Drosophila melanogaster: one gene and its partners. The protein of the gene in region 3 purifies or fractionates together with the protein of the main gene of each other region. This does not show direct contact. Each region holds a gene or a part of one and is shown on either strand. Other genes may lie near its edges.

What was found. Proteins that work in one complex are often made in the same cells at the same time.
Region 1: the proteins of Prp19 (region 3) and CG9667 purify together in Drosophila melanogaster (affinity purification with western blotting; one study listed by BioGRID). This does not show direct contact.
Region 2: the proteins of Prp19 (region 3) and Cdc5 purify together in Drosophila melanogaster (affinity purification with western blotting; one study listed by BioGRID). This does not show direct contact.

The regions. Positions count from the first base shown.
Region 1 is NT_033777.3:8,124,745-8,128,242, reverse strand, and holds CG9667 (uncharacterized protein), read left to right. Parts: upstream 1-1,885; 5' UTR 1,886-1,927; coding exon 1,928-1,930; intron 1,931-1,991; coding exon 1,992-2,014; intron 2,015-2,077; coding exon 2,078-2,238; intron 2,239-2,299; coding exon 2,300-2,931; 3' UTR 2,932-2,953; downstream 2,954-3,498. Other genes in the region: Arl8 (ADP ribosylation factor-like 8), read right to left, coding at 48-202, 1,401-1,523; CG7878 (uncharacterized protein), read right to left, coding at 3,105-3,420, 3,478-3,498.
Region 2 is NT_037436.4:357,306-363,156, reverse strand, and holds Cdc5 (cell division cycle 5), read left to right. Parts: upstream 1-1,773; 5' UTR 1,774-2,028; coding exon 2,029-2,073; intron 2,074-2,142; coding exon 2,143-2,408; intron 2,409-2,467; coding exon 2,468-3,912; intron 3,913-3,971; coding exon 3,972-4,660; 3' UTR 4,661-4,757; coding exon of another isoform or gene 4,758-5,126; 3' UTR 5,127-5,306; downstream 5,307-5,851. Other genes in the region: CG1233 (uncharacterized protein), read right to left, coding at 1-730, 816-1,404, 1,458-1,499; Roc1b (regulator of cullins 1b), read right to left, coding at 4,758-5,126; CG1231 (uncharacterized protein), read right to left, coding at 5,698-5,851.
Region 3 is NT_033778.4:18,446,835-18,453,012, forward strand, and holds Prp19 (Pre-RNA processing factor 19), read right to left. Parts: upstream 4,208-6,178; 5' UTR 4,075-4,207; coding exon 4,056-4,074; intron 3,992-4,055; coding exon 2,638-3,991; intron 2,587-2,637; exon of another isoform or gene 2,535-2,586; coding exon of another isoform or gene 2,093-2,534; intron 2,038-2,092; coding exon of another isoform or gene 1,267-2,037; intron 1,217-1,266; coding exon of another isoform or gene 1,107-1,216; intron 1,051-1,106; coding exon of another isoform or gene 974-1,050; intron 920-973; coding exon of another isoform or gene 880-919; exon of another isoform or gene 778-879; coding exon 633-777; 3' UTR 527-632; downstream 1-526. Other genes in the region: Lamtor2 (late endosomal/lysosomal adaptor, MAPK and MTOR activator 2), read left to right, coding at 1-116, 184-306; CG30120 (uncharacterized protein), read left to right, coding at 880-919, 974-1,050, 1,107-1,216, 1,267-2,037, 2,093-2,534; rswl (roswell), read left to right, coding at 4,542-5,882; Dnaaf3 (dynein axonemal assembly factor 3), read right to left, coding at 5,943-6,178.

The sequences.
Region 1 (3,498 bases), on a different chromosome or scaffold from region 3:
AGTGTTACTTGACTACCGATTGTTGCTTAAGTATCATTATTGCTTACACAATCGCATTAACGCCGCGACAATAGCGCTCCCACATGGATCGGAATCGAGGTTGGCCTCCGATGTCCCACACCTTGATAGTCACATTGCCTCTGGTGATCTTGCGCATGTTGAATCCAACTGTGGGTATCATGTCCTCAGCGAATTGGCCGGACTACAAGAAACAAAAATAATTAGTAAGTAATCGTGTCTTAAATAAAATACAACTTTTATATTAGCAAAGAACAAAGCCTAGAAGTATGCAATCCAAAATAATGTAAAACTCGTGTAAAAAATTGATTTTTTACACATGACAGCATCCAAAACCTTAAAAAATTTGTTATTCTTTTTGAAAATGCTCTTAAATAAATAACTATTGTAATATCTTAAAGTATTGATCAAACAATGTCTTTTGGTACTAAATTTAATTCAACATACAACACTTAAATTGATAATTGATTCTAACCCATAAATCTTTGTTCTGTATCAGCATCAATCACCTTACATATGCATTCAATAAGAGAATCGAAAGCTCCTAAAATGGCAAGATGTTACTTCTGTGACTTAGTTTAAATTAAAAAGGTATACTATAGGTTAGCAGTCGCTAGTGAAATGGGAAAAGTGACTAATTGGCGCCACCCACAAGTTTGTTTTCATTCCGAACCTGAACATTACACTAATGCACGAATCTGAATGCAAACACGGAATTGGAGTCTAATAGCAGTGATAAGCAGGGGAATATTTCCGTTTCGGGAGCACTTGAACAAACAAATTTCCCGTAGATGCGGGCAGACATTTGAATCGAATTCACATGACTCATAATAAGTCAGGCGGTCACAAAGGCAGTAGTTACTCCACCTCCCGCAACGACTGGCAAGTGTATGCAACTATCTACGAGTTCCAGTAAATGGTAACTTGAGATCGTCGCATTATCAGCGTGCAGAAATGTGTGAAAAAAACCAGGGAGGCGGTACGGGAATACGGGGTCAGGGGTTGAAGTGCTGATAATGGCGTCATTGTGCGGAGAAACATGCGTATATATGGGCTATATGTAGGTTTATTGATTACAGCGGCAGGAACGGTAAACTTTACCACTAAAAGGAAACGGTTAGCACAGCGTTAATTACGGATGCAGTGAAAGAAACTGGGAGTACGAAAAGATAAGAAATAAACAATGTTAGAGTGGGGGAATCAAGCTAAGACCAATTCCTTTGTCACTGGGGGTTTGTAATGCTTTTTAAGTAGTAGCTGATCCCCCGGCTTTCCGTGAACCCCCTCCCCACCCACACAACAGACAACCACACACAAAAAAAACCACCCTCTCACCCATACACCCACACGAATTCGCACACACCCACTGCGAAAATACTCACTGCAATAACATTGACGAACGTCGTCTTCCCGGAGAACTGCAGCCCCACTAGCGTGAGTTCCATCTCCTCTTTCCAGAAGATGCTCTTGAACCACTCGAGGATCCTGTTGATGAGGGCCAACATCCTGGGGCAGGTGTGTTTCTGGTCGGGATCTGCTTGAAATTCGCGAAAAAAGGTTTCCTTTTCCAAAGAGCGTAAATGTTGTCGTGAAAAAACAACTGGGCAGGTCAGTGTGGCCAAGTGCGCGGTAGTGTACTTAGTAGTATTCGTAGTGAATGGTAATCGTTTATTTCAGCATGTATCCAATTAAGAGAAAATAAAATTCATATGGTATATATATATTAAGTACAAATAAATAATATTATGTCTTCGGGTTTCATCGGGAATATTATTAATAAATTGCATTTAAAATATATGTGAAATCGCTACTGGACAATATTTACTGTACTTGCTATCGATAACGTGTAACCGATTTCCGTATAGTTCGCTGTGACTGGCAATTAAGGCAGAAGAAGTTAGTAAACAAAATGGTAAGATGATGTGAAAATTTTATTAATTTTAATTAAATGAATAATACATGTATATTTTCAGGCGCGCAATGCAGAGAAGGCAATGTAAGTAACCCGGATATACGTATAACATAAGATTTCCAGCACTCATCCGCTTATTTTCGACAGGACAACTTTGGCACGTTGGCGGGCCGCAAAAGAAGTGGAATCTGGTGAAAAGGAACGCCGGCCCTATTTGGCCTCCGAGTGCCACGATTTGCCCAGATGTGAGAAGTTCCGCCTGGAGATAATACGCGACATATCGAAGAAGGTGGCCCAGATACAGAATGGTACCTATTTCGGTTTATTTATTTCTCCCTAACAATATACACTAATAGCGACCACTTATAGCTGGCTTGGGAGAATTCCGGATTCGCGATCTGAACGATGAAATCAACAAGTTATTGCGTGAGAAACGGCATTGGGAAAATCAGATATCCTCATTGGGTGGCCCCCACTATAGACGCTATGGTCCCAAGATGTTCGATGCGGAGGGCCGTGAAGTTCCCGGCAATCGAGGCTACAAATACTTTGGAGCCGCCAAGGATCTGCCGGGTGTTCGCGAGCTCTTTGAACAGGATCCTCCGCCGCCACCCAGGAAATCACGCGCTGAACTAATGAAGGACATAGATGCCGAATACTACGGCTATCGAGATGACGAAGATGGTGTTCTGATCCCTCTGGAGGAACGCATCGAACGAGCGGCCATTCAGAAGGCCGTGCAGGAATGGCGGGAGAAAATGGCCAGAGATGGTCGCATAATCGATGACGAAGAGGAGGATGAAATATATCCCCTTTCGGGACCAGCACGCGAAGCCATCGAGGATGCCAAGGCTCGAGCCGCCGTGGAGGATCCTCATGGCCTATTGGCATCCAAGTTCACCGCTCACGTTCCCGTGCCGACGCAACAAGATGTACAGGAAGCACTGCTGCGCCAGCGGAAACGGGAACTGCTGGAGAAATACGCCGGTGGCACTAACTAAGCTCAATAAACATTCTAAACTCTTAGTTTGATACATTTAAATCGCGTGTTCTTTTAACACGGCATGTTTTGGGTTATGATCATCTATAATTGGAATAGATAAATAGTTAAACAATTTTTGGCAAGGCACTTCAATGCGCTCTAGTCTCTTATAACTAGAAAATGTAGAATGAATCAGTATTGAAATTGATCGAAATTTCGGCGTCCGCCGCCACGTCCGCCTCCAAAACGACCACCTCTTCCTCCAAAACCGCCACCTTCAGCAGCGCGCTTGTCCTTCATGGCTTTAAAGCGTCTAGCCATGTTGTGCAGTTCGTCGGGCACTTCCTGCTCCGCCTCCTGCAGTATCTCAATTAGTTCCTTGGCCATAGCCCAATCCTCGCGCGTAAAAAAGCTTATTGATGTGCCCTGTCGGCCAGCACGTCCGGTGCGACCAACACGGTGCACATACTCCTCGATGTTGTGCGGAAAATCATAGTTGATGACATGTCTTTGTGGATGAAAAAATAATGACTAATGGGTTCCTCGACTCGAAAAATTTGCTTACGTGATATCCTCAATGTCCAGG
Region 2 (5,851 bases), on a different chromosome or scaffold from region 3:
ATCTGTGCGAGCGGGGCGAGGCTGGGCTCGAATCCTGGAAGCTGACACGTGGGCGTTAGTAGTGTCTCCGACTGGAAGACATCACCATCTGCTCCTCCTACAACCAGGCCACTTTGTCCTGGCTCTGCTGCCGACGGCATGGTGCTATTGAATCCCAGACCGGGCAGAGCAGATGGCAAAACCATCGGTTCCTTGAGGATGTCTACATTGCGGATATAAATCTTCGGCTGGCGCGGCTTCTCCGGCTCCCCGACAACATCAGGAACTTCAGGGAGACTATTGTCCGTATTGACCGAATGGTTCTGCAGCTGGAAGTCGAACGGCAGCAAAGCGGTCTCCCTGAGCACGTCCACGCTCTTGATGGAGATCTTCTGGATGGGCTTTGGCGGCGGAGCTGGTAAATTCGCAGCAGGTGCTGTTGGCATTGTCTGTTCGGTCGGCGATGCACCTACAGCCACACCTTCCAGCAGATCAAGAATGTTAGCGGCGGACCCGCTATCCGGCATTAAGGGCGGGAAATCCGGGAGTGGCTCCCTTAGGCAATCTACGCTTTTTATAAAGATGCGGCTCTTGGGTCGATTTTGGCTCTGCGACATCTGAGTCTGCTTTTTAGTTTGTGCTTCAGTGACTTTTCTGCCCATAAGCGCAAGTGTCTCACTGTCCTCCATTTGATGGTCCAAGCTGAGGTGCAAGCTGAGCGCATCGCTGGTGTAGAAAATGTTTGAGCAGCCTGTCGAAAAACACGTGAAAAGTGAATGCAAATATGATGAAGCATTCCAGCAGAGCACTCATATTGAAGGCGCACTATGCCTCACCTGGACACTGTTTCCTGTGCTGCTCCATATAGCAGTTGCCCTGACTAAGGTGTTGCTGAAGACGCATCTGGCAGAGGCTTAAGAATGGACAATTAGGACAGCGCAGGATAAGAGGCGGACCCTCCTGAATGATTGCCTTGCCCTCCACGCTGGCGCAGCTGGAATTTCGAGTTGGTGGCGTTGGCGTGGCATTCAGGCGATCCTTGGCTGCCGCTTCCGCAAGTTCCGACTTGATTAGTTCCTCCGACTTAATTTCCGCTGTACGCCTGCGGAAGGCATTGCGGTAGCTTTTCTCTGGTTGCTGCAAGTCGGTGGTGTGGATCTGGACAAAGGGAATGCCCTGATTGGGCTGGGACTCCACCGCCACCTCAGTAGGTGATCGATTCCCGCCATCGGCCAGCCACAAAGTAGTTCCAGAAGGGGTGGTGTTTGCAGCAGACGCGGAGGCAGATCCGGATCCCGATCCGATGACCAGCTCTTCGTCAAAGAATCCCCCGAAGTTGGAGTCCTGCTCCAAGGAGTGAACCGGCGTGGAAAGCGACAGGTCTTGGTGCGGATGTGTAGGATGCGGATGCGACAACGGGAGCAGCTGGAAGACACACGGCGTGTTTTTCTGGCCAGAGGTACTCGCTGGTTGCTCACCTGGTTGCCGCCGTAATATCCCGGATAGGTCGCATCGCTCATCGTGGGTGCCTTCCTTGGTCCAGTTGATTCCCGGTGCCGGATTCCGGTTGCCGGTTGCCGGTTTTCCGCTTCCTGGGCACACGCCTCTTAATTCCGCATCACAAAAATTGGCATTACGCAGAAAAAAAACTTTTCATCACAAAATAACTGATAGCGAACAGCTGTTGCTGTACACAGTGTGGCAGCGGTGTTTGCACAACTATATTCGGTCACACTGTCGCGTTATGTTATGTCGTGTGTATAGGCCCTTTATTAAATTGAATAATTTAAGTTACCAATATTAAGACCGAAGTTAAATCAAACGGTATACGAAGACTAAATACAATATAATGAAATTTTTTTGTACTAAGCTAGAATAGTTTAACTAGAGGTTCTATAAATATACCAAAACGTGCTGGAGATATCGCTGTTATCGAAGACTAACCATCGCTAGCGGCTACTGCAAAAAAAAGAGCGGAGTTTCGTGGACTCGAGTGAAAATTGTGAAAATCCATTGTATACGCGACAGAAAGCAACATAAGGCCCCAGAATGCCGCGAATAATGATCAAGGGCGGCGTGTGGCGCAACACGGAGGTAATTATCCCAATAGTCTATCGGTTAACCACACATGGCTTACATTGGCTACCGATTTCATTTTCCCAGGATGAAATCCTCAAAGCTGCGGTTATGAAATATGGCAAGAACCAGTGGAGTCGAATTGCCTCCCTCCTGCACAGAAAGTCCGCCAAGCAGTGCAAGGCCAGGTGGTACGAGTGGCTGGATCCCAGCATCAAGAAGACCGAGTGGTCCCGTGAGGAGGACGAGAAACTGCTCCACTTGGCCAAGCTGATGCCGACGCAGTGGCGCACCATAGCCCCGATCATCGGACGGACGGCAGCCCAGTGCCTGGAGCGCTATGAGTACTTGCTGTGAGTCCAACGCACAACATACTAAGTAGAAAATTTCTGATCCCTTTCCTGCCGTACAGAGACCAAGCCCAACGCAAAGAGGATGGCGAGGACACGATGGATGATCCTCGCAAGTTGAAGCCCGGAGAGATTGACCCCAATCCAGAGACCAAGCCGGCGCGGCCCGATCCCAAGGACATGGACGAGGACGAGCTGGAAATGCTGTCCGAGGCACGCGCCCGCTTGGCCAACACGCAAGGCAAGAAAGCCAAGCGCAAGGCTCGCGAAAAGCAACTGGAGGAAGCCCGCCGCCTGGCCACTCTCCAAAAGCGGCGCGAACTTCGTGCCGCCGGAATTGGCAGCGGAAATCGCAAGCGGATCAAGGGAATAGACTACAACGCCGAGATTCCCTTCGAAAAGCGACCTGCCCACGGATTCTACGACACTTCCGAGGAACACTTGCAGAAAAATGAACCCGACTTCAACAAGATGCGGCAGCAGGACCTAGATGGAGAACTCCGCTCAGAGAAGGAGGAACGCGAACGCAAGCGGGACAAGCAGAAGCTGAAGCAGCGCAAAGAGAATGAAGTGCCCACCGCAATGCTGCAAAACATGGAGCCCGAGCGGAAGCGCTCCAAACTAGTCCTGCCTACGCCGCAGATTTCCGACATGGAACTACAGCAGGTAGTCAAGCTGGGACGCGCCAGTGAGATGGCAAAGGAAATTGCCGGTGAGAGCGGCATAGAGACGACGGATGCTTTGCTAGCCGACTACTCCATTACACCCCAGGTAGCAGCCACTCCACGTACTCCGGCTCCGTACACCGATCGCATCATGCAGGAGGCCCAAAACATGATGGCCCTCACCCACACAGAGACGCCACTCAAAGGTGGCCTGAACACACCGCTGCACGAGTCAGACTTCTCCGGCGTGCTGCCCAAGGCGGCCTCCATCGCCACGCCTAACACAGTGATTGCCACGCCGTTTAGAACCCAACGCGAGGGCGGAGCAGCCACTCCCGGCGGATTCCAAACGCCCTCCTCCGGAGCCCTAGTTCCCGTAAAGGGGGCAGGAGGGGCTACGGGTGTCGTCAATACACCTGCCTACGTGAGGGACAAGCTAAGCATCAATCCTGAGGAGAGTATGGGCGTCACCGAGACCCCAGCACATTACAAAAACTACCAAAAGCAACTAAAGTCTACACTGCGTGACGGTCTCTCCACGCTGCCCGCTCCACGGAATGACTATGAGATCGTGGTGCCTGAGCAGGAGGAAAGCGAACGCATTGAGACCAACTCAGAACCCGCCGTCGAGGATCAGGCGGATGTCGACGCCAGGTTATTGGCTGAACAAGAGGCGCGCCGAAAGCGAGAGCTAGAGAAGCGCTCCCAGGTTATTCAGCGTAGTCTCCCGCGACCAACTGAAGTGAACACCAAGATTCTGCGACCGCAGTCCGAGAAACAGAACCTTACGGAACAGCAGCAGGCCGAAGAGCTGATTAAACACGAAATGATCACCATGCAGCGTGAGTAAACCCAACGTTTCCATTTTAACCCAAGTAACTAACGTCCTTTTTCTTGGCAGTGTACGACTCGGTCAAGGATCCCGTGCCTGGTCAATCGCAGCACAAGTTGGAACAGCTACAAAGCTACTTTAAGGCCAATCCCTACGAGGACATCTCGCAGCAAGAGTTGGCGAAGGCCAAGCAAATGCTCACCGAGGAAATGGAGGTGGTGAAGGAGCGCATGGCGCATGGCGAACTGCCCCTAGACGTTTATGCCCAGGTGTGGCAGGAGTGCCTCGGCCAGGTTCTTTACCTACCCTCCCAACATCGCTACACACGCGCCAATTTGGCCAGCAAGAAGGATCGATTAGAGTCTGCCGAGAAACGGCTGGAGACAAATCGCCGCCACATGGCCAAGGAAGCCAAGCGCTGCGGCAAGATCGAGAAGAAGCTGAAGATTCTCACCGGCGGCTACCAGGCGCGCGCCCAGGTGCTGATTAAGCAGCTTCAGGACACGTACGGCCAGATTGAGCAGAACTCTGTCTCACTCTCGACATTCCGCTTTTTGGGCGAACAGGAGGCCATCGCTGTGCCGCGACGCCTGGAATCGCTGCAAGAGGACGTGCGTCGCCAGATGGACCGCGAGAAGGAGCTGCAGCAAAAGTACGCTAGCTTAGTGGAGGAGCGCGATTCGCTTTACTCTCAAATCGAACATATAACTGGCGTCAGGCCCACGGCCCAGCAACTCCTGCCCGACCAGGAAGCGTAAACCTTCTTTTGGAACCCAAGTCCGTTCTTATTTAATTACAGTAATTACATGCCAGCAAACAGCTATCACCACCTAATATCCCGATCCATATTCCTCGCTAGCGGCCGTACTTCTGGTAGACCCACTCCTTGTTGTCCAGCGGACAGACCAGGCGCGTTTTCAACCAGCGCGCGATGCAGTGGTAATGGAATGCGTGGTTGCACTCGCCCCAAGCCACAGTGCACTCGTCTTGGTTTGCATTCGGGTCCGCCTGGCACTCGATGCACAGGTTCATGATGTGGTTACGGCAGATGGCACAGTTGTCCACTGCTACGTCCCATCCCCACATGGCGTGCGCAACCCATTTCTTCACCACAAAGCGCTCCGTCCTGGCCTGGACAGCTCCTCCACTACAGGATGGCTCTTCGTCATTGAAGTCCATGTCGTGGAAGTCCTCCGTCTCCTCAACCTCTATCTCCTCGGCCATGGTGTGAAATTACGAATTTTTTTTCTTTTTCAAAATACAACACTTATTTTCGTATTCGAATTTGATTTGAACTATTTTAAATTCCATTTGTTTTTGGCCTGACAGTTAATAAAAAAAAGTTGACCACTACCGATTTATCTACGAAATAACAACGGCGAATAATTTTAAAAATAAATGCAGAAAAGAAATTAAACCTTGTGATCATATTAAGTGGGGCTCAAGAAAGCTTATCATCGGTAAACCACTTTTGAATCCCTAAATTTAGACAATTTTTTTAAACAAGAAAGAATGTTATAGTCGAATTTCTCGACTATCAGATACCAGATAGTGGGAGTGAGTTTGAGAGAGAAATTTCAAAATTATCTTGGCATATCGATAGAAATTTGTATTCCTTTTAACGAGTTTAATATACCCCTCTATGAGTAATGGGTATGATAACAAATTACGGTTTTTATAATGCCTTTCTTAAACAAAATAGCTGTTTCCCAAACTCGAATGTCATTATTATTAAGGAAGCTTTACTGCTAACGGGAAGTCATGGCTTAGGCTTAGGGTATATCAAATAAATTCTTTACACGTTCTTCTCAGTTTGGGAAAGGTTTTTTACCCTCTTCAGGTGCTTCTTGCCAATAAAGTGCTGTTGCAAGGTGCTCTCATGGTTCATCATCATGTTGCAGGGCTGGCAGTAGTACTGACCCATTGGAGTGCGATACAAGGCCAGTTCC
Region 3 (6,178 bases):
CCATAGCCAGCAACATATGGGCGGCCTACGAGAAGCATGGACGCAACGCCTTTCGCGAAGGTCGCCTCACTTTCGTGCTCATCGATTGTGAAAACGGTCATGTGGCCATCACACAGGTGGGTGATCCTCTTTTTTTTAGCAGGGATTCGTTCTATAAAATCTTAACTATATTCCTTTTTACAGGTTGCCAGTGTCCTTTTGTGCCTGTACGCCAAGCAAACGGTGGGATTGGGTCTTCTGAAGCAAAAGGCCATGTCACTGGCCTCCTATTTGGAGCGACCGCTTAAGCAGATCTCGGCCTCATAAGGATAAAACAATGATGTACCAAGTTCCGAAATGAATAAGTTAATAAGTGTATGCATCAAAAGTGAATCAAATGAATATGAATAGTCTGCGGAAAAGTTTAAACGATAATATATTAGTACTTGAAATTATGAATCTTTAAGGATTTTGTTAGTATTTAAGGAAAAACTTGTCTGCTGGTTTCCAAAAGTAACCCAAAGATATTTCGTATTCTGAATTATTTGGATAGAGGGTCAGGTTTATTATTCTGCAAGATTTGTTCAAGAAAACACACAATCATTAGGGAATATTGTATAAGAAAATTTTGGACTTAATTACTAAGTGTGGACTTATTCGATGGCGTAGAGCTTCAGGGTGCGGTCCATGCTGGTGGATGCCAGATACTGGGCGTGCTTGCCGAATCTCACGCCCGTTGCCAGGGCCGTGTGGTCGTTGAATACCTTCAGTTCCTGCCACTGCTTGCACAGGTAAACCCTGTAAATAAAACGAAGCAACCGTCAGAATTTGTATTTGTACCGTGGCAACCAAATAAACAAGTTAACTAAGGGAATCTTCTTTGGCGAATTTAACTTAACAATGCGAAAGTTTAAAAGAAAAGTTTACCGCGAATATGAAAGTAAGTATTATATTCTAATATGCGAAGACTTAAAAATGCATGCTGCTCTTCAAGATTTCGTGCGACCCAAGACCCATGTGGAACCGGAGCCTCCAAAGCCCATAAACTTATCGATTGAGGACTTCAATGCGGTGCGAAATAATTAATTTTTATATTTCCAAAGTTAAGTTTTATTAATATTCCTCAGCGCGGAGAGATCGCCAATCCCCGTGCTCCTTGTGTGGTCACCACCATCGATCCCGATTATATTAAGGACGCCAGTGCGCAACGTTTGGCCAGAAAATTTCGCATGAAAACGTAAGGAATCAAATGAATTATGTGCTGGTGCAATTTCACAGCTTTTTCAGGGACATCCTACTCTTGAGGGAGATTACCCGCAATCGCTTTATGTACTATGCTACGCAAGAACTTTTTTTGGACCGAAAACGCGAGAAGGAATACCAAGACAATGTATACGAAAAGGCCGAGGAGTTTCACAAGTTTGCAGAGGAGTCGCTCAAGAAAATGGAAGCGGAGGAGTTTAAGAAAATGTTAGAGGCCCAAGAAAAGCTGAAGACACTGAAGGAAAGCAAACTGAGCGAAGAGCTGAACGAGGTGAAGCTGGAGCATCAGCGAGTGCTGATGGAAGTGCAGGAGGTCTACGGTCGCTTTCAGTATTTACTCAAACTGATCAGCTACTTTGATGACACAGTTGAGGAGGAGCAAACCGAGGGAGACGATGCCAGCAATAGGCTTAGCATGCCGCAGGAAATCGTAGCCATGGAGATCACCGAACGACATCCAGCGGGTCTCGAGCAAGTGCGTCAAGTCCAAGACTACATGGAGAAGATAGTGCGTCCGTATTTGGCAAAGCGGAATCATCTCAATGCAGAGATTTGGATACGTGGCTATGAGAGAAATCGCTTAAAGGTGTCCAACTACAACAGGCGCTTTTCTCAGTTGGCAATCTTGAACCACATCGTAGCCATCCTCCATGACAAGGCCCAGAAGACGTACGAGCGTCAGGTGAAAGCCAATGTGTTCCTCAAGGATCCCGAGTTCCTGCAGCGACGGGTGGCAGGTCTTCAGGAGCGTGCCAAGGGTCTATTAAATGACTTCGAGCAGAGATACTGCAAGGAGTGAGTTGGGATGCGTACATATTTGAATCAACTATTTTATATTCTTAATTTCCAGCAAGCTGAATATCAAGCTAAATGCTATTGTACCAATTATTCTCAAGCAAATCCAAAACAAAGTTAAGCCGGAGCAAAAGCGAGAGGTTACGCAGCCGCCATCCAAGCCAGCAGCCCAGAAGTCGTCCAAGCAATGGCGAACACTGGAAGACATGCAGCCTCCACCACCGCCACCCAAGTCTACATACGCGGACGAACAGGACACGACTCTTGCCAAGGTGGAGAAAATCCAGGGCTACGTTTTGGAGCTCTTGGCTAAACTGGACCACATCGAACCGAGCAAGCTGCGAAGTGTCGAGCAGCAGGTTCGACGTCGCATGGCAGCGGAGAAGGAAATGTCTCGCCGTGCGTTAGTCAAGCAGAACCGGCTACACAACTGGATGGCGCATTTCAAGAAGCATCATGATCAGCAGGTTGAGCAACGATGGAAAAATAAAGTCTAAGCTAGACAACAACACCATACTTAAAACATTAAATGAATACAATTTAAAACTTATTTTAACCTCATTCTGAATGATTTCAATAAGAAAAGTACAATTCACTTACCTGACATCGCTGCCGGCGATAGCCAGATAGGTTCCGCTTTGGTCGAAGCACAGATCCTTGACCTCGTAGCCGTCATCAAGCTGGATTGTCTTAAAGTTCTTCAGCTTTCGCAGATCCCACAGCTTAACGCAGGCATCATCTGCAGCGGTGGCCAGGTAGTAACCGTTCTCCGAGAAGGAGATGGCCGAAATGGGACCGGTATGACCAGGGAAGTTGGCCACATTGCTCTGCTCCTTCAAATCCCAGATCTTAACCTGCGAGTCCACGGTGCCCGTACCGAAGATCAGACCATCAGGATGGAATTGCGCTGTCGTCAGCCCGACTTCGGCGGTATCGATTACCTTGGTGAGCAGGCGTCCTGTGCGGATATCGGAGAATGCCCAGTGTTTGTCGGATGATGTGGACAGCAAGTAGTCGCCAGTGGGGTGCAGCGAAAGGCCAGTAACAGGTCCTTCGTGGCAGCGCAGGAGAAGCTGCGTCTGCGAAGTGGGCACGTGCCAGATGCGTATGTTCATGTCGGGCGAGCCGGTTATGACTGTATCCTCGTTAGGATGATATATGACTTTGGTGATCTTCTTGGTGTGTCCCTTCAGGATGGCCACCATCTGCTCTGTGTCCTTGTTGAACACGGTGGCGTTTTTATCGTTGCCTCCGGTCAGAATCTTACTGTGATCAGCACTGTTGATGTCCAAGGCCAGAATGCCGGGAACGGAGGCCGAGTGTAGGCCGGGATGGGATGCCACAGTAAGGAAGTTCTTAACCTGATCCGTTGTAACCAGATCCTCGGGCACAGTGCGTCCGCGCTTCTTACGCTCCTGCGTCAGCACCGTGGCCTTGTCCTGCAGTTTCTGTATGACCTCGGCGCTCATGCCCGCCTGCTCCATGGGATGGGCAGCAGCTCCGCCAGCCTCAGAGGCCAGGGCCGGTTGTGGTATTGCCGTGGGTGCGTTGGCAATGCCCGCCTGCGGTTTCAACGTGGCCAGAGCTTCGCGAGCGGCGGCCACCTCCTTATTGAGGCGGGCAATCACACGACAGGCGGCATCGTGCTGATACAGCGCATGGGACAACTCCTGGCGCGTCGTTTGCAGCTGCTGGCGTTGTGTGAACGAGTGAATCATGAGGGCGTCCCACTCGTCCTGCATCGTTTTCAAAGTGGCCGGAATGCTGGTGGCACTTGGCGGTTTCGGTTTCACCACAGCCGGCGTCTTGATCTCGATCAGCTCCTCCGGCTTCAGCTCCTTGCCGCTAATGGGATCGCAGCCATTCTCTAACAGATACTTCTCAATCACCCGCTTTTCGAAAACGGCTCCCGAGTGCGGGGAAACCACGGGCGTCTCGGGGACTTCGTTTGTCACTTGGAATGGAAAGTGCGATTCATAATGGCCCAATTCAAATCAAAATCTAAATTATTCACTTACGTGCGCAAACCAAAGCCATTGCTGTTTGTGATTATGTCGCTTTTCGCGTAGTCTTGTTGGTAAATTAAATGTTTTACACGTTTTTCCCGAGCCAAGCGCAAAATTGTCGGCAAAGCCGCTTCTTCTTATTATGCCAGTTACTCGGCGACGCGGGAGTTTCGAGCACAGGGCTGCCAGATCAAATGGATTTTGGCTAGAAATTTGCACAGAAAAAACTAGCTAGAATTTAAACAATTTATTTTATTGATAACACAACACATTCAATAAGTATTTAATCCATAACAATAGTTTTTATAGATAAATGACATTTACTGATAGAGAAGTGAGTAACATATCTTAAATCAATCAGCTATCTCACCGTTTTGCCAATCACAGTTCCGCACGCACAATCCATAATTGCTGGCAACCCTAGCACGTTGTTTCTGTTATTCAATTCACGATCTAGTTTTATAACATAGTTTACTGCCATTAAGGTATATTTTTAAAATGCTGAAGCATTTTGCACGATGGCGTCTGGGCAGCCAGTTGCTAAAGGGATGTGCCGCACCAGTGAGGCAAGCCTCCAAAACCTCCAGCGCAGAGAACCTGATAGCCGGCACAGAGGAACCCCAAAAAAAGTTCGTCAATCCGTTTTCCCAGCCCGCTCCTGCGTTAAGTAATGATACGATATCAGAGAACAAGGAGGAACGGGATAAGCGACTCAAGGTGCTGCAGCTGGAGGCGGACATTGCCCACCAGGAGGGTCGGCGGGTGCCGTCACTGGAATTCTTTAAGGATCATCATTGGGAGCACGTGCTGACGCTACCCACAAAATCAGCTAGGATCAAGTACTTTGGCTATCTCTGGCAAATCGAGATGAAGAAGGAGGCGGATCAACGCAAGAAGGCAGAGCGAGCGAAGGAAGCCGAGCGGCGGGTTGCGGAGATGCGAAAGGAGCGCGAGGAGAATACGCACATTATCTATGGCCTGGGACACACATCGTTGTTTCTGCGTATCTATGATACCACTATTAATCACTGGCAGAACAACCGACTCACACGGGCCATGCAGTTTGCCCCCAAAATGGTTTTGGATTGCTCCTACGATGAGCACATGAACAATCGGGAGGCTACCTATGCAGCAAAGCAATTGATGATGTGCTTTGCGGAGAACCGGATGAATGATGAGCCCTTCGATCTGCACTATTGCAACACCCAGATGGACAGCAGATGCATGCAGAGCCTCCAACGCTACATCCCCACCATGCACAATCCAGAGTTCCCGATAAATTTGCATAGCAAGTGCTTTACGGAACTCTTTCCCAAGCAGAACCTGGTCTACCTAACGCCCCACTGCCGGGAGGATCTGGTCACTTACAACCCAGATGACATCTACATCGTGGGCGCCATGGTAGACACTATGAACAACGAACCCCTTTCGCTGGCCAAAGCCAAACGATTGGGCCTTCGGATGGCGAGACTGCCCCTGGATCGCTACCTACAGTGGGGTTCCGGTTCGGGAAAGTCGCTAACTCTAAACCAGATGATCAACATTATGCTGGACCTCAAGAAAACCGGCGACTGGGATACGGCCTTGAAGCATGTGCCCCGTCGGAAGGTCGTGCAAAACGAATTCCAGCCGCGCAGGGAGAAAGATCATTGGAGCACAGGCACGCGGGCCAGGAAGCTTAATATGCGAATCGATCATCTGTTTGATTTTGACGAGAATCGCCGGCAGGCTACCTCCTATGCAACTCCGCAGAATGTAAGGCAGCGACGGGAGGGCTTGGAGTTCCAACTGGACACTTGGGCAACGGGGAAGCAAAAGAAAAAGCAGAGACAAAATTAAAGTTACTCGTTGTATTCATTAAGATGCATATTTCATTTTATTCGGATTCGGATTTCTTATTCATGGGAAGTTAGTTTTTGGTTGTAGGGGACCTTCTGCCTCCACTTCCTTCTTAATGGCTGCCACAGTCTGATTCGATGAGGGAATCTCTTCAATTACTAGACCAGTATACTCTTCAGCAGGTTCACCATAATCTGTGTCTGTGTCATATTTGAAAGTACTTTCTGGCATGGCTTCTGTCACGGCTTCATCTTCTTGTTCATCTTTATCGGTCTTTTTGTATTTTAGCCACATGT